2 linked regions of the Mytilus edulis genome follow. The protein of the gene in region 1 purifies or fractionates together with the protein of each later gene. This does not show direct contact. Links are inferred from orthologs where the notes say so. Each region holds a gene or a part of one and is shown in the gene's direction. Other genes may lie near its edges.

What was found. The genes of interacting proteins can lie anywhere in the genome.
Region 2: the proteins of E3 ubiquitin-protein ligase KCMF1-like (region 1) and acyl-coenzyme A thioesterase 9, mitochondrial-like purify together in Homo sapiens (affinity purification with mass spectrometry; 3 studies listed by BioGRID and IntAct, with this or other methods). This does not show direct contact. The link is inferred for Mytilus edulis from reciprocal best matches to the Homo sapiens genes KCMF1 and ACOT9.

What each region holds. Positions count from the first base shown.
Region 1 is NC_092347.1:79,329,228-79,339,612, forward strand, and holds the start of E3 ubiquitin-protein ligase KCMF1-like, read left to right. Parts: upstream 1-5,584; 5' UTR 5,585-5,768; coding exon 5,769-5,784; intron 5,785-9,958; coding exon 9,959-10,126; intron 10,127-10,385. Other genes in the region: dihydropteridine reductase-like, read right to left, coding at 46-235, 1,611-1,697. UniProt on the Homo sapiens protein: E3 ubiquitin-protein ligase which accepts ubiquitin from an E2 ubiquitin-conjugating enzyme and then transfers it to targeted substrates, promoting their degradation by the proteasome.
Region 2 is NC_092347.1:66,325,406-66,335,499, forward strand, and holds the start of acyl-coenzyme A thioesterase 9, mitochondrial-like, read left to right. Parts: upstream 1-5,118; 5' UTR 5,119-5,157; coding exon 5,158-5,189; intron 5,190-6,619; coding exon 6,620-6,729; intron 6,730-7,440; coding exon of another isoform or gene 7,441-7,486; intron 7,487-7,529; coding exon 7,530-7,575; intron 7,576-10,032; coding exon 10,033-10,094. UniProt on the Homo sapiens protein: Mitochondrial acyl-CoA thioesterase. Catalyzes the hydrolysis of acyl-CoAs into free fatty acids and coenzyme A (CoA), regulating their respective intracellular levels. Regulates both mitochondrial lipid and amino acid metabolism.

The sequences.
Region 1 (10,385 bases):
TAAAGTTAGGATATATTCAAGATGCCTTTTATGCAAATGTTTCACCTTTTGCTGCAGCATTTCCACCTGCCCAGCCTCCTGCTACACACAAAACAGCATCTAACTTATCACTTCCGACAATACCATCAACAGCTTTAACAACTTCATCTTCCTGTTGAGTCCATGAGTCACATGGTTTAACTATAACATTGGCATCAGCCTGTTCATTTGGCATCAAATCAATGGATCCAACCCACTACAAATAAAGAAAATGTATAATCCTATGTTATAATACCTTGCTTAACAACATACAGCAGATAACAAACACTCTTCTTTTGTTTATTTTTTTTTTTTTTGGGGGGGGGGAAGAGTGGTCTCCCCCTATAACTGGTGTGTTGGCTGGTGTGTAACATTCACATATTTTACATGTTACAAAACTTACCATGAAACATGTGAAAAGAGAACTTTTAGATTTGAAATAAGCAAAAATTACTTTCCTTGACAATATAAATCTGGTTTACACCAATGCATAGAACCCATATAAAAGTATCAGTAAACAGAAGAAAAAAATCTAAAATAAACATATTTCTCCTGTTTTATAATAGAGCTTGAACACAAGAATTAGGGAGTAAGTACATCAAAAGCAGGTCATGATCATTTTGCAAGCAACGAAAATAACTTGCTTAAAATCATAATTTTATAGTAGCTTAAAATCATAATTTTAATTTTATAGTTAGATTAATCAGTGTCTTCATGATCACAGTTCCATAATGACTGCAGTGCTGATCATCAGTATTAAAAAAATTAATTCGTGAAATAACTCGTGCAATATAGCATTATATTTTTTCAACTGCTTGCTCAACATGGAAAGGATGTTCACTAAAACCATTTTTTTCACAGAAATGCAATTTATGTTATCAAAATACATCAATTATGCTATTTAGTTCATGTTGATGATGATTTTCATTTACAAAACCTTCTTTTAGACCTATTACTATTATGATTCCACCTCAAGGGCAAAAGTATAGGACTCAGGGGCAAAAGTGCCCATCTTTCAGAGCAACAACTAACGTATATGTAACAATCAGTTCAGAGCAGTTGCTGGTTTCAATGTCATTTATCAACTTCTGATTTTTGTTTCAGTTGAATTTAGGAATTGCTGATCATGATGCACTCTTTTTAGTCTAACTTAAAGGACTAATTTAATTTTGATTTTTAGAACAAGTTACAGATGACATCAATATTTTTGACTCTTACTGAAAAATCGTAAGCATTGCAGCATTGGCAAGGTACACGACAATAATGTGAAAGTTGTATCTGAATGTGAGGTACAAGGAGCCAAGTAAAATAAACTGACTAACATATGGCATGCAGGTACATGTATCCCCTATCATACCTTATTGAAAAAAACTATGCAGGAAGATTCAAGACCTAAAAAAACATATTTCAGACAAAATATACATTATAAATATAAAGGCAGCTGACAGACTACTTTCTTGTGAACTATACACTTTGATTTGCGAATTGTTTCAACAGACCCAGATTCAATATTTTTTCAAGAAGCCGGACAAGTGTCCTCATCGTAAATTCGCCTTATATTCGGTCAACATAACATAGCTGCAATATCTTACATAGTTTTTAGCCTTGAAATGGCTAACACAAACTGATCCTAGGGCTCCTTTACCACCATATACTAATATTTTACCAGCAAGTGCCATGATTTCCTACTTTCACTTTCTTAGAAAATGTATTAACTCCCTTTAACAAAAGTCTCTAAAATGTGAACTACGCCCCGTGCTCATCCTATAAAATTCGCCAGACTGGGATTTCATAAAATACCTTTTTGATCATGGGAACAAACTAGTAATAAATGCTTGCGGAAAAGAAACAATTGTATGAAATTGAGGTAAACATAATGTTATTTCTACCTGTACACTGCCCCTCCACATATTTAGCAAGTTTAGCTTGAACTTCCTTTCTCTGAATTCCCTAGCCTATTTTTGCTTGACAAAGTTTATTTGCTTTTTTCACGGGGGTTTGTATTTTTCTCATCTGTTAAAAAAAATCCAATCAGGCCATTGTATGATCTTATATCATAAAGTTTGGTTTATGTATTGCATGGCTCCGTCAAAAACTCAGAGCATTTACAAAGATCACCTCAAAGTTCAACATGTTGAATAACAAATAGGTTAGAATGTCACTTTTTAAAACTTGTAATAATTGAGTGTTTGCTCTTAAGTAAATATAGAGAAATATATTTACTTTGACTTTAAAAAACTGCAATACGCCGATTTAAAAAAAAATTATAATGCGTAAAATAGTTTTGGGATCACAATAGAGATAAATGAGACTGAAATTTTAGCGATATTTACTCTAAAATTCTTTAATTTTACTTTACAATTTTCCGGCAGCTATACCAAGCTTGTTGTTTCAAAAGATAAATAGAAAAAAGTAAAATAAAAAAAATACTGAACTACGAGGAATATTCAAAACGGAAAGTCCCTAGGCTAATCAAATGGTAAAATTTAAATCACCAACACATCAAACGAACGGATAATTAACAACTGTCATATTCGTAACGTGGTACAGACATTTTCTTATATAGAAAATATATATTTCTATTATATTTATTAACAAAAGTAGATGCTCTCAATGATTAAAATTCTTGATATAATGCATCTCTTCCCGGTATTTCACATTTTGACATCGCCTCCTAAAAAAAATATTTTACGTGAGCAAAGTTCGTATACCTCACCTCCAACGTAACTGTATTCGTCATATGATTATCATATGCCCGCCAAACAAAAATTATAAAAAAAAACCCCAATGAAAGCTCACACGATGGAAAATGCTCAATGTGTTGTCGTGTATATGGTAAATAGGCTAGAAATAACCGAATATCAATATGGACAATAACAACAGTCAATGAAAGAACATGACAGCGCATTCACACGTGTATCTATCGATCACACAGTAAGATAACTCTGTCAAGAAGGGAAAAAAAAGAAAGAAAAAAAAAACGATTTTAAAAACAAGATGCATGCTTTCTTTAAAATAGAAAAAAAAAAAAAAACGGATGCCGTCCCAGAACCTAAAACACTACATATTTGAACGGTTACCAGTTTGCCGTGTAGTTTGATGCTTAAATATTTTAATCATTTCAGTAGAGATGTATTTACATCGATAATTGGTAGTTTATAGACAGGGTAACAGTGAGAGATGACCAAAACTAAGTAAACATATGTACCCTTTTCGGACTATAAAGGTCAAATTAAAAAGTGGCCGGACTACGAATTCATATTATTGACGTGCACGTCAATATATACCAGTGATGTTTTGTAAAGCTTATTTTGACAAATAGGACCACATTGACTGCTTGACAGTGAACCTTTATTTCTTTATTACGCTTTTATAAATGTATGAAACCAAAACAAAAACATTTTCTAATGAATTATTTTGTTGAATTCGTGGCTATATTTTCCTTCTTCTTCTTTCGTTAATCAGCAACGGAAAATATACCATCACGCTGATGCTGTGTCATCAAGTGCAGGTGCTGTACAAGTTGTGATCAACCAAATCGGGAAAAAAAAATAACTAGATACAAGTTTAAAATTGTGGTTGGTGCAGGATAAAAAAAAGGATGATCTTTACCAGGGGCGGATGCAGGAATTTTCGAAAGGGGGGGGGTGCTAACCCAGGGCAAAGGGGGGGTGCAGGGGGGGTGCAAAACATATGTCCCGATACAAATGCATTGATCGGCAAAAATAAAGGGGGGTGCGCACCCCCGGAACCCCCCCCCCCCCTGGATCCGCCACTGTTTACAGCATCACTGTGTCTCTGGTCTCAGGATGGAAGTGTGACCAGAGGTTTTCCTTAAAAGTGTCCGAGTCAATGTCAGTTGCGATGTTTCCTGGTAGATGATTCCAGTCTCGGATTGTTTTCGGGTCCTTTAAAAGCTAAATGATTTTTAGCAAACTCCAAATGTTTTACAAAATGTAAAATGCACAATAAAAGTGAGGCAACAATTAAGATAACAAGTTGATAAAAAAAAATACTAAGTTGTTATAGTTCGTTCAGTCTTATGTTGTACTGTTACACCACTGTCCTAGGTTAGGGGGAGGGTTTGTATCCCGCTAACATGTTTAACTCGCCACATTCTGTATGTAAGTGCCTGCCCCAAGTTAAGAGCTTGTTATTCAGTTGTTGTCGTTTGTTGATGTGTTACATATTTGTTTTTCGTTCATTTTTTTAACATAAATTAGGCCGTAAATTTTCTCGTTTGAATTGTTTTACATTTGTCATTTCGAGGGCTTTTATAGCTGAATGTGTGGTATGGGCTGTGCTCATTGTTGAAGGCCGTACGGTGACCGATAGCTGTTAATTTCTGTGTTATTTGGTCTCACATATCACATTCTTCTTCATATTATGTTTTATTAACCCCACCGCATGTTTGCGCCTGTCCCAAGTCAGGAGCGTCTATCTGGCCTTTACTAATTGTTTGTGTTGTATTTTTTTTTAAATTTTAGTTCAGTTATATGTTTTAGAGTTGAGTATGACGTCCATTTCCTCTGAACTAGTACACATTTTTATTAAAGGGTCAACTGGGTCCACCTCCGGTGCGGGATTTTCTCGCTGTGTTGAATACCCATTGGTGGCCTTGAAGGCTTCAGCTGTTATCTGCTCTATATAGTCGGTTTGTTTTCTCTTTGACATGTTCCCCGGGCCATTTCCATTCTCAATTTTATTCTTGAGTTATAGGCATACAAAATAGCTGTGAACTAGTGATAATAATGATGAAGAACGGCAATATAAAGGCGCTGGTCCTCAAGTTAAATTGCTTTGTATGATTGTGTGTTTTGCTGAGCATATACTGATTTTGTGTCATGGATGGATACCCCATATACCTGGGTTTTTCCCTTTTTAAGTGTTCTCTCAAAGGCGTCTGTTCCCAGCTCAAAGAACAACCAGAAATATACATCGTTGGCTACTGAGATATTAATAAAATAATAATTTCAGAACAGCTCTTCATTTGCGCAATGAATAACAGGTATTTGATTAGTTATAAAAAGATTTCGATTGAGTTTTTGTAAAGAAAATACCCGAATAAGTTTTAACAGAGAGAGCAAAGGCATGTTTCTATCTTATTCATATGGACACATATGGATAGTCGACTTTTCCCGCATGGTATGATATAATTAGGACTGAAACAAGTGCCTGTGACCAGGGACTTTCTATACTAACAGAATAGAAAGTCCCTGCTGTGATTGAGACTGAGTTGGGTAGAAATTCACCTGCACTGAATATCGAACCTCTAATTATACCATTTATTATTTATTTCTTTGTATTACAACTTTCAAAGTAAAAGACAAACGTAGTAGAAATCTACATAAACTAAAGTGAAACAGGTGTTTTATAACGTCCGTTGCTGTTTTAGTTATATGTTATTTATTTTGCAATTTTTGTTGAACTGTACTGTGAATAATTCTGAAAAAAATCTTTTAATGTTATTTAAATATATAGAGCACGATTAAACAATATTTTGTTATTCATCAATGGTGTGAAATTTAAAAAAAAAATCTTTTAGAAAACTCTCGTATTTCTAAATTTCTTCCCGTGAAATTACGTGACGTCATCATGGTTCCCATTTGCCAAGAATGTAACCTTGGATTTTCCTAAATTAATCTTTAACATACGCTAATTTACATGCCAGAAGAATTGACAGTAAATCCTTCTTTATCTCTACCTTTAGCAGGATATCTTTTCTTTAAGATAAAAGCTTTATTTCCGAAATGTCGAGGCATGAGGGTGAGTTCATAAATTTGTCGACAAAATGGCCACCAATAATATTCAGCGTAATATAAAAACTGTCATCTTTCTGATAAGAAATAGTACCCATTGAGAGTAATATTTTCACTGTTGCACTTCATGCTTCAGTGTATGATTTATATGTTGGGTATTGACAGATAGCAGTTGTCGTTGTCAGCACGAGACAGTTTCCAGGAAGTTGTTTTCACTTCACTTCCAAGACATTATTGCTTGCATAAGATGAACGTTATGTGGGCAACAAATGAGAGGGACAATCTCGCCATCTCAATTGGTAATATGTGATAGAAATATGTACTGAAAAATTACCATAAAATGAAATAAGTCTTGATCTAAACCAAGGCTCTTATACATCAACTCTTCACTCCAATTTTAGATATATATGATGGTGTTTATCTTTAAAATTATCCACCAAGAAACAAAGAGGGAGGAATATTATTTACAGTAATCATATCTCAATTACAGTCACAAATATATCATTTATGAAAATGGTGAACGTTTAAGAGTCCATTATTTTTATTTATAAAAATAAAATTGACATCATTTCAAAAGACTTTCCTGCAACAGAGAAGTCAGGACGTCTTTCCTATAAACTCCTCTCAGTTATCAGGGTTCTTCATTTAGACCAGTAAAACAATGTCAGAGGACCACTGGATTAGATTAGTTTTGATATTTAAATTAAAATGCACTTTGAAAGTGGAAAAAAAGAATTTTTGGTTTACACTTGGCAACAAAATTTGTTATAAGACATATCAAGAGACTACATTACAAGAATCTTCATCAGCAATTTGGTAAATAGTAAAAAAAAATACGGGTGCCACATGTGGAGCAGGATCTGCTTACCCTTCCGGAGCATCTGAGATCACCCCTAGTTTTTTGGTGGGGTTCGTGTTGTTTATTCTTTAGTTTTCTATGTTGTGTCATGTTTACTATTGTTTTTCTGTTTGTCTTTTTCATTTTTAGCCATGGCGTTGTCAGTTTTTTTTTGATTTATGAGTTTGACTGTCCCTTTGGTATCTTTCGTCCCTCTTTTTTTTGTACCAGAGTTTGATCAGGTGAGTGATACAGAATGAGAGGACCTGCTGGGGAAGTTAGACATCAAATTGCCTCTCAAAACATTTGTTGATGACTTGAATGTAAAGAAAACATTACAAAACCCCAACCAAACCTTGTTTCTTACTTGATATTGTCATAGATTCATTTTCAAGTGTATAAATCAAACATTCAAACCCTGGTTTTTGTTTTATGTTCCTTCGATTATATATCAACAAGTTCTCAAATCATGCAAGTGTTATTTGATTCCAGTGCATTCAATTTTTGATGTAAATTTATGCATACATGTACATGTACATGTATGATACCTTCAGTGACCCAATTAATAACTCAACTTATCAAGGTAAGCCTCTTCATCAAATCTGTCATATCCAGACAAATTTGACAAAGTCATATATAAATGTCAGCCTTTTTGCATAAAATAGCTCTCATGATTACAATTAATCTGTGTGAGAAAATAACACAAGAACGAGTTATCTTGTTCTAACTTATAGTATGTTGCTGAAAATGGAAAGTTGGTGGAAATAAAGGTTTCGTACTACATTTGTAACTGATTTTAAGTTTTAAAAAATGGTGTCAAATTAAACATAAGAGCAATCTCTGACTGATGTTTGATATTAATTATATAATTTATCTATGAACGACATTAAACAGGGCTAGCACTGCTACTGACCTAAGGGGGAAAATAGAAAATACAATATGTACTGAAATATTGGGTTAGTGATGGAATTATTGGGTGCAATTCTAAAATATAATGTTGATGGAAAAAAAATTAACCTATGAATATTAGATACATGTATACATCAGGGCTTCCAAAACGGTCATATATTCTGGACAATTGTATAATGTCCGTTAAAAGACTGGCTGGGCAAAGCATGAAACGGTCATCTACTTTTTAGTTTTCAAGGCTTTTTCAGTCATTTTAACATAATTCACGATCTTTTTGACCCAACCTTTTGCCTTTAACTGACATCCACACATTTCTGATCATAAAAGTTACATGATGATTAATTACTATCAAAACAACCCCTACTTCAATACTTTCAAATTTTAATCAACATGATCAAGGCAAGTTAGTTGTTGGACAGCTGAAATCTACCGTTCAGGTGACAGGTAAACTATTTTCAGTACCGGACATCGGTGGACATCATATAAATTGATCTGTCTATTCACAATTATTACTTAGGCTTAAATTAAAATATTGTTTGTTTGCCCTTTACTGACCGACCCTATCAATTCGTTCCGCCTGAAAATCTTTTATTTGTATTTACCAGCAAGATTTTATTTTATTTTATTTTTTCGTTCCTACCAAAAATCTTATATTTGTATTTCCTGCTCAAAACTTTTTTACCGGAATTCTCGGGTTTTATCTTTACGTATAAGGTCCAGTCCGTTTGGTATCACCTGAGCGTTTGACATGAACACTTGCAATTGAAGTTTCAAAGCATTTGTTTGAAATCGATGTTGAACGCTTTCTGAAATCATATAATGAAGTACGTTACTCTGTACCTTTAAACTTAAAGAGCAGGGTTCATTTACAAAAAAGTTCGTTTGATACAAAAGTATTAACGTGTGTACAAACTAATTTGTAAACGGACGTTGTATTCTATGTAGGGATGGCCTTTTGTGATCCGCATATATCAGAATGATTATGTTAACGATGCCGCTAAATTATTTATATCTGACATGAACCAAAAGTGACAAAACCCTGTAAAGTGGAGAATATCTGGCAGTAAAATCGCCAAGTTTTCCATACAGATCATTTATAAATGTGATGCAAAATACGTGACAATTGAGTTTTAATTCTTATAGCATTTTTATTGGAAAAAAAGGCACACACGAAATTTGTAACACTCTACGGACTTTTTCTACTAGTAATATATGTCTGCCCGGACATTATCTTACCAGTACAAAGTTATCTCTTTTATATTTTTTTTCAAAACTAATAGTTCCAGCGGAAAACTTATTTGCAAAAACAAAACGGACAAAAAAATGACATTATGCAGATTTCGTATCTATAAAATAAAATATTTTACCTACCTGCCTACCCATGACAAATAATATACCGAGCCAAGTTATTTTTTTGGGGAAAAAAATTAAATATTTTACCTACCTACCTACCCTGTTTCAAAACATAGGGTCGGAAAAGGGCAAACAAACAATATTTTAATTTAGGCCTTACATTTCAACGGTTTGTATGTACATGTACACAATGTAATTGATATAGTCTAAAAGATTAAATTATAAGAAATACGTTAATAAACATGATTTGATGAAAAATTTAATGAGGTTTTAAATGAAAAATCGTCAGAACTACGTTGTATGAACTAGAACTTGTGTGCGCATGTGCTTAGGTGGGGAATTTAATTACACATCCTATATTTCTTCAAAAATGCTAAAATTATCATTGATTACTGTATCTAACATTCATTTCAAGTATTTTGTTGAAGAAATAACGTGGAAAGAGCTTCTTCACTCAGTCGTGCTTTGTAAATCGTACACAGATTTTACGTATCCATTTATGGTTCATGTTTTACCATTGTCAAGTTAAGTCAACATCCGGTTTTAGAAAAATGTGATTTTAAAAAACAAATGTAAAGTTTTTGACAATGTCATTTTGCACAATTAAAGAGTATGGCAAATATGAGCACGCTGATGTGCACACTTTGAATGATGCACTGCCAATTTAACTTTACGTCAGAACATCAAATTCATATCAAAGTATCGGTTTTTTTTTTAATGTAATGTCAATCATTGGGATGGCTATCTGATTACCATAATTGTCTTTTGTGACTTATTCTTAGCGATTAAAATCGGGATCAGATATTAAATGTCTGGCTGGCTTAAATATTTTTGGAAGCCCTGGTTTACATACATATATGTTTCATTGAATTATTTTAACAATCTTGAAAGTTCATATACATGTAGCTATCAGCATGATCAGTCATACCAAAAAAAACCTGCTTTTAACTGATCATTATATAATTATTATTCACATGCAAGATATATAGATGCTGTACATTATTATTTATTTAATATTAAGTAAGTTGCTATATAATATTTATAGTAATAATAATATACTTTAACTTTCAATGATTTTCAGGTGTAAGCTGTGATTCCTGTTTGAAAGGGAACTTTAAAGGGAGGAGATACAAGTGTTTAATTTGTTATGATTATGACCTGTGTTCTACATGTTATGAATCAGGAGCCACAACTTCAAGACACACTGCAGATCACCCAATGCAGTGTATACTTACAAGAAATGATTTTGGTAAGAAGTGTTTGTTATCATTGAAAATAAAGAGAAATATAGGATATACAGATCATTGAGACAGCAACTTGAATACATATTTAAACTAAAAAGACAATTAAAGCAAGGAATTCATTGAATTCTGGAAAATTTATAATATCAGAAATGTGATACATTGGGCCAAAAATAGATAATTGTTTGTTTCCCCAAACCTGACCCTATCAAGTCAGGTGTGGGTAGGTAGGTAGGTAAATTTTATTTTTTTGGTAAATTTGTTTTT
Region 2 (10,094 bases), about 13 Mb from region 1:
AATTTTAAGGATACTTTTGGCTTTGAGAAGTATTTTTATATTTTAGAATTTTTTTATATTTATACTTTTTTTTTTTCGTTAACATCGACCAAAACTCCTTTCAGATTTTGGAAACGCTTCCTTTGAGATAAAAGTTACTAGCCCAGAAAACACATCCTTTCAGCTAAGTAATTAAAAAAAACATATACCAACGACTGTGGATTTATGCAACTCTGTTTAAACATTTTGATGTCCCGGGGCTTATAAAAGTCAAAACGATAGAACTCATATTAGCATTGATCAGCGTTATCACGGTTGCCTGATTTTATTTCCCCCATTTTTTGCTATAATTATGAAATCTTCAGCCGTTCAGGCGACTGTGCTTGTGGCAATATGTTGCAAAAATATTTTGATCTGTGTATAAAATTTTAATTGATAACATGTTTTTCCCGACTTCATTGCTTAATAAATCATATAGGGCCTACTAGTAAACAAACCTCGTGTGAATTGTCTTGTCTGTCAACCCGGGGTTTACAAAACTGCGTCCTATAATCAATATAAGCGACGTGATAACACCCACGCAAACATTTGACGTTCTAAGATGATTACAAATCCAGAGACATTGAAGGCATTGAAATTCCGTATTTTATTAAATGATCAGTGTCAAATCTGGATTTGAAATATAAGCTAAGCAAAAATATTTCAAGATTATGTCGAAAACATAGATAAACTGGTTCCTTGTGCTTCTTCAAAAGAGAACGAGTCGGTCAACAACATGTTGACAACAATGTTAGAAGCAAGAATAAAAGTCCAAATAATTATGACGTCTTGAAAGGCTATTATAATTTTTTTCTTTGACGTTAAGCTAGAAATGAAAATAATGTTCTAGAGAGAAGAGAAGGGGATACGTACAAAACAGAAATTGATATGGGGACGAAGTCCCCAATGACAGTAGAAAAATCAATAAAAAAAAAAAAAAAAAAAAAAATCGGGAAAATTTTCCCGAATTTTTCATTGTACTAATGAACTCAAAATCGTTCAATTTTTTTTTGTCGTGTTTTTTAATTTCCGGATCTGCGCAGAACGCAGAAATCTTCTTCCTTTTTCCGGTCTTGTTGTCGTGAGACTTTGATTAGTCTAGTAAAATATTGGAACTCAAGGAACACAATACCAATATTTCATTTTTAATCATTCTTTGTCTTTGATATGAATAAACGTTACCTGATGCATTGTGTTATTTTGTTTACATTGAACATGACGTCATAACTTAAATAACGTCACAAGTAAAATCCCTAACAACAGAACCAAAATCGGAAACGTTACGGTATTTCCGTTTCTTTTTTTCACAAATATTTTAAAAAGTTACAAAAAAAAATCATACAGACTTCGTCCCCATTCACAGGTAATGCCTGCCTCATATTATGCTTTGTCAAAACATGCAATTACAGACGTTATGTCCAATCCTTTGGTAATAGAAGAGCTTAATCCAGTCAAAAATATCCAGACCTGTATTCCATGTGTTTATTTCGACCTGGAAACATCTTCATTATCTCTGAACTGCACATGACATCTTTCAAATTTCAGCAGTAAATAATATACATGTATTTGATCAATATATTACCCCTTCTTCGGGGATACGTAAATATGCCTCTGAGGTAACTGAGTCGTCTATGTGTAACACCATATTGTGTTACAATGACCGTAAAGTCATTTCATGTTCACCACAAGAAAGTTTACAGAATTTTATTATTTGGTTACAAGAAAAGATACCAGAAAAATGCATGTTGATCGGACATAACGCAAAATGTTTCGATGTACCTGGATTAGTTCACTGTTTACAGAAATTTCAACTTTGCTCATCGTTTGAGGAAAAAATTCTTGGTTTCATTGATACACTCCCTTTTTTCCGATATCTGTATCCAGAATTGAAATCGCATAAAAAAGAAGTGCTTGTTTCTACCTTCTTAAAAAAAGAATTACAGTGCCCATAATGCATCCGCTGATGTACAAATGCTGAAAGAATTTGTTGAATTTACCAAATGTAGCATCACTGAGTTAAGTCCATACTCATTTGTCACCACTTCTTGCGCTCTATGCTTTAAACAAAACATAGTATCAAAGGCAAGACTATAGTTACATTAAAGTCTTTAACAGAGAGAAGCGTGATTTCGTCCGCAATGGCAAAAAAAATATCAGATAGTGCCGGTCTGGATTTATTTCAACTGCAATTGACTAAAAGGCGAGATACGGACAATGGCATTTGACTAGTGCTAGCTGAGAAGAATATAAACGGAAAACCTCGTGTTACTGCTTGCAAAAGAGTAGCTACATAAACAAAGATTTCAGAATACCTGAATTAAAACTAAACATTATCTTTTAAATTTTGGCTCTTGGCTCCTTGTTGTTTTGACAGTTGAAGGATAAACGCACCCAAATTGTCCTGGTCATTTACAGTACCTCAAAATGCACCTTGCTGATATAAAAATAAGAAGAGGTGGTATGATTACCGATGAGACAAATACATTTTTGATATTTTACTGAAGTGTTATAATTAAAGGTCACCACACGGCATTCAACAATGAGCAAAACCCCATACTGTACAGTAAACGATAGTTTTAGACAAAGTAGTGTAATAGCAAACCCTAAAAAATAACTGGGAAAAATCAGTTGAAAAGGGACGATTTTAAGATCGGCACAAAGCACTAAAATAATTATTACCAAAAAAAAACCAATTCCAGTCATGAGATATTAGTTCATCACATATATTACAAAATAACAACTGGAAACAATTACGACATGGACATACAAGCTGTGGTCGTCCCATTCACATAGAAAGTGGTGTAAAAGTACACCAAAATAACAAACTGTTGAAAAAGACGACTCTTTAGATCAGTACAAAGCAACAAAAAAATCATTTTTTTTTTTTTTTTTTTTTTTTAATAGATAAAAATGATATTAATATGAAAAAAAAAACATTGGTCTTTTTTCAAATTACTATATTTAACCTCCACATTACACCATAAAAAGGCGAGAAAATTGTTTATACCAAATTATCGATATCTCTTTTTGTTTTTCAGTTGATAAATATACGAATAATGTAGTTTCTGCAAACAATAAGGTTAACACAAGATGAAATTTTCAAGTGATTCGGACTTTTTATAAAATTTTACATGGCAAAGAACTTCAAGTCACGATTTTCAAATTCTTCGAAAAAGATGCCGTTCCAAATCGAAAACGAGGTCGGTGACCCCATTTTTTTTGTGTGGCTTATTTTGAAGCTTTAAACAGAGACATATATATGTCTCTGCTTTAAATATGCCAAAGTGTAAATAAAATTTAAAGAAGGTATTATTGGTAGAACTGAATAGAAAGATGTGTCTTTAAGTAAGTTTATGCATACCATTTAAGAATTTGACTTAACTAATGAAATTCTTAGTGAAATCTAAGTTTAAGGAATACTTAACATAGTCGGATCCAGGGGGGGGGGTCGCCGGGCCCCCCTTTCGTGGGAAAAATTTGGTTGATTATATAGGGAATCATAGAAGCATAACTGGAGCGCCCCCCCCCCCTTAGGTCAGTCAGCGGGCCCCCTTAGGAAAAGTTCTGGATCCGCCACTGCTTAAGTTAAGATGTTTTATACATACGGCCCCTGATCACTAATATTAGATTTTATCACTTAAATATAGTTTGAATCTTGATGGCAAATGCAAATAATAAACAGAAAGTAGGTTTCTGATATAAAGAGTCTATAAAGGGTGTTGCACATGATTTCATTTCTGTCAATCGATTAAGTTTAGTTTATGACTAATTCGGTTCCGATCAATGGGACAAATAGAATTAGTCACAACTTATATACTTTTACAAATTATTTAAATGGATTAATTAAGTAAATTTTTCGAAGACCCACACTGCATACATATAGGTTACAAATGTGTTGTGGGTTTTTGTTGAGCCTGTGACTTTTGTCCGCAGAAGCTGGACAGGGGTCCGACAGTTTTCACTTGACCTGGACCTCGTTTCAAGGATCAGTGAACAAGGTAACGTAGGTTTTGGTGGTCGTCCATATCATAGGTATTATAAGCATAGTGTATTTGGTGTATGGAAGGACTCTAAGGTGAACATGACCAACTGGTAGGTGACATCTGACCTTGACCTCATTTTCATGGTTCAGTGGTTATAAATAAGTTTTTGTGTTTTTTTTCTAATGCTACAACTGTATATGCAATAGGACAACTATGTTTCGTGTATGGAAATATTTAACGATGTAGTTGTCAGTCTCGCAGGTTTTTATTTGACCATGACCTCTTTTTCATGGCTTAATTTTTATTTTTTTGTCTGTTATTCTTGAAACAAAATCCATATATGCAAAAGGTCACTTACATTTGTTGTATGGAAGGATTGTAAGCTGTACATGTCTCACACTGCCTGGCATGGTTCATCTGACTTTTACCTCATTGTTCATTGGTCAATGTTAAGTTTTCTTTGTGAAGTCTGTTTCTTACAGAAACTATAAGCAATAGATCAACTATATTCAGTGTATTGAATGATTGTAAGGTGTACATATATTTCTTGATCAGTTTATTTGAACTTGCTTGACCTCATTTTCATGTTGAGGACTATTAACACAATATGAAAAATTAGTAAGTAAGGCGAGACATTTCAGAGTGTGCACTCTGCAATTGTTTAATATAAAGTAATATTTTCTTATTTATCAATATTCATAAATGTATTTTTAACATTAAAAAAAAACCAAAACAGGGAATAAATGATTCTTCAACAACTTGGAATGTATATTAGGATCTTGACGTGGATCTTTTATTTCTGTATTTCATAATTTTTATGCGATTTTTTTTTTCTTTTAAGAATAACTTTTATTCTGTAAAATACTCTTGAAGCACTTTAATTTTTTTTCTGTCTGTAATAAGAATTAAGCCGTTCTGTATGGTATATCATTAATTTCTGTAATCAATTAACTAATTCTTTCAATTTTCCAAGATTATTCTATGAACTTTTGCACCGAATTATTCTCTCATCTTTTCCTTGTTCCCTCACCCTTTGTATTCTCTTTTATAAATCCCAGCCATATCCTCGTTTATTGATTAAATACAAAACTAAATACGGAAACAAATCGGGTCCGCTGATACCGTTTTGTGATTTATAATCTCCACAAACCGGAAAATGGATTCTTTATTAAAATTGACAAGAAAAATGTAAAAGTTCTATTTAAATAAGACTCTTTGTTATTTTAACGATCTGTCCATTGCATTCTCGTTGATCAGTTTTTGATTTTGTAAACCGTCTGACTGGAAACATGCAAATGTCGCACCAGGCAGCATAGACTCATTCTCCGTCTATAGTAGTAGTAGAAGTATAACATTCTTGTAAAGAAATTATCCAGTCCTTATCAAGCTCCCCTTTTTTTCTGTGAAAAATTCGGTTCCTTATATAGGGAATCACTGAAGCATAACTGGAGCGGGCCCCCTCTTAGGCAGTCAGTCAGAGGCGGATTTAGGGGGGGGGGCCCTTTTTGGGAAAAAACTTTGAGTCTTATATAGGGAATCATTGAAGCATGACTGGAGCAGGGCCCCCTCTTAGGTCAGTCAGTGGGCCCCCACTTATGAAAATTTCTGGATCCACAACTGTCAGTGGGCCCCCACTTATGTAAATATCTGGATCCACCACTGTATCTTTATTAGGAAATCCCTCTTTCAAAGGGCACTTCGTAAAGAACAAGGTTTTGAGAAGTCTATATGTCTATATATACTTAGTTTGAAAATATAAGACATGAAAAATATAAATTTAGGCCCCGTGGGGTGTACTTTGGCTGCAGTTGTTGACCTTTGCGCTTGCTAGACGGGAAGGCCTTTTCAGAGTTCATTTCTCTAGTCTTTGGCATGTAAAGCATGTATAATTTTCTGGATATGTATTCTATTTATATATCCACTGATATCAAAACACCTACATGTAATTAATCATTTCGAAAATAGCAACCTATCACATGAATCCGGGTCTGTTCGCCCTAGTACCTGTTTGCCTAGTTGTTCAGCAGCTACTATTAGTCCTGATACCTTTTCACACAAGGTCCATTTACCATGATTTTTATTTTTTTCTTATCGTTGTCTAGTTATGTTTAAATTTGATCAGAATATGTTAAAGTTTGTTGAAAAAAAAGCAAAATATTTGTATTGCCGCAACCATTTTATTAGTTTCCCCTTGATTTACACAGTTAAATACTGGAATACAATGTATTTATCTTTAATGATTAAACAAATTGAAGTATGTCCAGTGCACAATGTTTTGTCAATATTGTCATTAATATCTCAAATTTACACAATGCCATTTTTAAAGTGTCGTTATTGTGTTTACATTGTATCCTATCTTTATGTTCTGTACCTTTGTGTTTTCATCATTATTTTATTGAGATAGATAGCCAGATGTGATTCATGGTATTTAAAATATGGTGAAATGATCAAATGCAATTTTAAAAACTTAAAGTTAAATATTTGCAGATATCACTTCCATGGCTGTATTTTTTTTTAAATTGACATGCTTTGCTTTGACATGTTGAATATGTAGCCCTTTGTGTTCTTTTTTTAGACTCTTAAATTTCAGTCAGATAATAGAATTTTGTATTTTATAGACCCTCAGGTTTACAAAGATCATACCAATGTAGAAGAAAACTGTTATCCCAGTCATGGAGGACAAGAAACTACAGTCAGACAAACACATCAATACAAACAATACAAACAGGTACCTAAAATGGCAGTACAATATACATTTTCACTATTTAATTACTGTGGATTCATAATTATTCCTTGGATACCAATTTTCCTGGATTTTGTTGACAAAGGTGAAACACAAATTCATATGTTCAAAGACTTGCAAATTTTCTAGAGGCTTTGAATGCAGAAACTAGCAAGGGGAAATTGAAATATCTACGGTAGTTTCTAAAAATAATAGCATCACATCCATAATATAATCTTTAAGACAATTTCAAATAGCACACATTTAAGATAATAGCATCACATTACCATGATGCTAAAAGGCTCTGGAGAGAACACTGCCCATGAAAATAAATGAATCCACGAAAATAATTGAATCCACAGTATAAGTTTTCCAAATGAAGAACTTACTTCTCAAATTTCCATTAATGATGAAAATTAATCCATACATTGGTTCATGTCTGTCGTATTTATTTTTACTAGTATTATTATAGATTAAGCCGTTAGTTTTCACAAATTGTTTAACTTTTTCATTTTTGGACTTTTATAGCTGACTTATGATACCGTATAGGTTTTTATCTTTGTCATTTGAAGTCATGTGGATAGTTGTCTCATTACCAACCTTTTACTTTAATTATAAACTCATCTTTGCATCTTTTATTCAATCTAATGGAAAACCAGAGTGCTTTTATTTTTGACAATATTCATTCTAAAAATTATTTTTGATTTATTAATATAGCAAGGAACAGACTGAAAGAATTAGTAGGAGCACAACTAAGTTGGGGGTAAGTTAAATACTAAGTTAAATACTAAAATTTATTAATAAAGCAAGGAACAGACTGAAAGAATTAGTAGGAGCACAACTAAGTTGGGGGTAAGTTAAATACTAACATTTATTTTTGTGGGTACCCGGTATATATTTTCGTTGATATTTGATTTCATGGTTTTGCCCAAGTCTGGATACAAGTCTTATGTTGTGCTATAATACCACTGTCACAGGTTAGGGATAGGTTGAACACTCACAACCATAGCTGAGGGCTTGGAGGGGTCCTTTATTTCTGCATACTTTATTTTTTACAGTCATTGTTTTCTTTTCTTTCTATATTTTGTCTATTATTTTATGTTCTTAATATTTCAGCATCCCATTTTTCTCTACTCTTATTTTTTTTTGCACATTTTTTTGTAGTAATGATCTAGAATTCTCTGTTCTGTAAAACCTACCCAGACCCTCAATGAGGGCCTCATGACTAAATCAGAAGACAGTACAGGGCTCACACTACTTCAGAATTATAGGGAGAAGTGACTTCTCTTTTTGAAACTGATAGGGAGAAGTGGTGAGATTTGAAAGAGAAGTGCTCATTCGCGCGGAGCGCTACAATGTTTGGATTTTACAATAGTATAAAGGGCCATATGTAAATAATGTTCTTTTTATGTTGTTCAATTCATATGAGTAAAAGATTACAATTAAAGTAACATTGAAATTAAAAGTTGTTTAAGTTTTACTAAGGTTCTTGTGAGAAACTACAAACTAAATATCTAGCACTAAAAAAAAAAAATTATTTTAAAAAATGTAAAGAAATTATAATATATCAATTACAATTTAATTAAAAATTATCTTGTGTATATAATTCAGTGTTTCTCATAAAAAATATAAAAGTTATTAAGCTGGGCCATAATATATTGATATTAGTATAATAGTCTCAGAGTTAAGCAACTTTAATCAATAGTTTGAAACAATCCATAAAAAATATAGGGAATTATATACACCAATCAATTAGATGTAACCAAAAGTCTCTTAATGCGTGTGGAATGCGTAATTTTCCCTTTTGTGATCAATATTATTCTGTCAGCTGTTCCATCCGTGCGTCCGTAGTAATTATTGTAAAAGTACGGATTTCGGTCATAGCTGGTCCGGTTCAGATCCGTAGTTTAGAAATCGGTCAATGGCGGACGAATGCAAGAAAATTTACAAAAATAAACGATGTTTGACAAGTTATTTGGAAAGGAACATGACGGTTTTAATGCAATAAATGGATTAAACATTTACTGGAGGCAACTTTTGTCACGTTTAAATGAAGTAACAAACTTATTTTGCCGCCGAAATTTAGGTTGATGTACGTTTTCGAGTAACAAGCACCGGAACTTGCAGAAATGCAAGAAGTGATAAAAAGTTGTTTTTTTTATCAAATAACCTGCTACACACTACGAAGATAATGCTTCAACCTCTTTTCTAAAGATAATGAATCGTTTATGTCTTAATTTCTTTAATTATCAGTAAAAAATTAATGTTTCATCAACTTGGTAAAAATTGAAAATGTCCGATGACGGAAGCGACTGAAAGCGACTATCGTCAAGAACAGGGCGACTTGTTTTCGCTTTTGGGGGTCGGGGAAAGCGAAGTGACGGTCGGGAAGGCGACTTCTTCGCCCAAGTCGCCTGGTAGCGTGAGCCCTGCAGTACAAATAATTAAACTCCTGGCTTAGAAATAAGGTCCCTTTTTATGCCCCACTAGTAGAGGGGCATTATGTTTTTTGGTCTGTGTTCCAGTTTGTCTAATCGTCTGTCTGACCCACTTCAGGTTAAAGTTTTTGGTCAAGGAAGTTTTTGATGAAGTTGAAGTCTAATCAACTTAAAATTTAGTACACATGTTCCCTATGATATGCTCTTTCTAATTTTAATGCCAAATTAGAGTTTTTCCCTAATATCAGGGTCCAATGAACAAAGACAATGATAGTGCGGATGGGGCATCTTTGTATTATGGACACATTCTTGTTTCAATTAGGTCACAGACGAAAGATGTCTCGTTTTCTAGTAAATTTAGATTTTCCAATGCACGGATTTTAATCTTGCAGAATAAAAACTATCAAGGTTATTTTGTATTTATATGGAAACCTTTGTGTACTGTGGATAATTATTCATGGGACCTTTGTATACTGTGGATAATTATTCGTGGGATATCAATTTTCGTGGGTAAAGGTGAACGACAAATTCAAATGTTCAACGAAATACAAATGTTATATCCATGTAGGCTTTTATGCAGACTTTGGCAAAACCACCAAATAAATATCCACCAACATGCATTGTTTATTGAATCCAAGAAAATTGATACCCAAGAAAAAAAAAAAAATGAATCCACAGTATATTGCTTAAATTTCGATGTATATATGGAATCAAAGAATGGCATAATATTTAAACTCCAACAATAATCTTATTGTGTCTCCATTTTCAAATTGATAAAAAGGTTCAATGAAATACAATGACAGTGAGTGACTGAAAAATCTGTGTTGCACTATTTAACCTATGCACTACTGTTTCTTGTTTTATTTTGAAGGACACAAATACAAGATGCTGGTTCAGAGACAAATATAATTACACAACAGTCTGATTTACCAA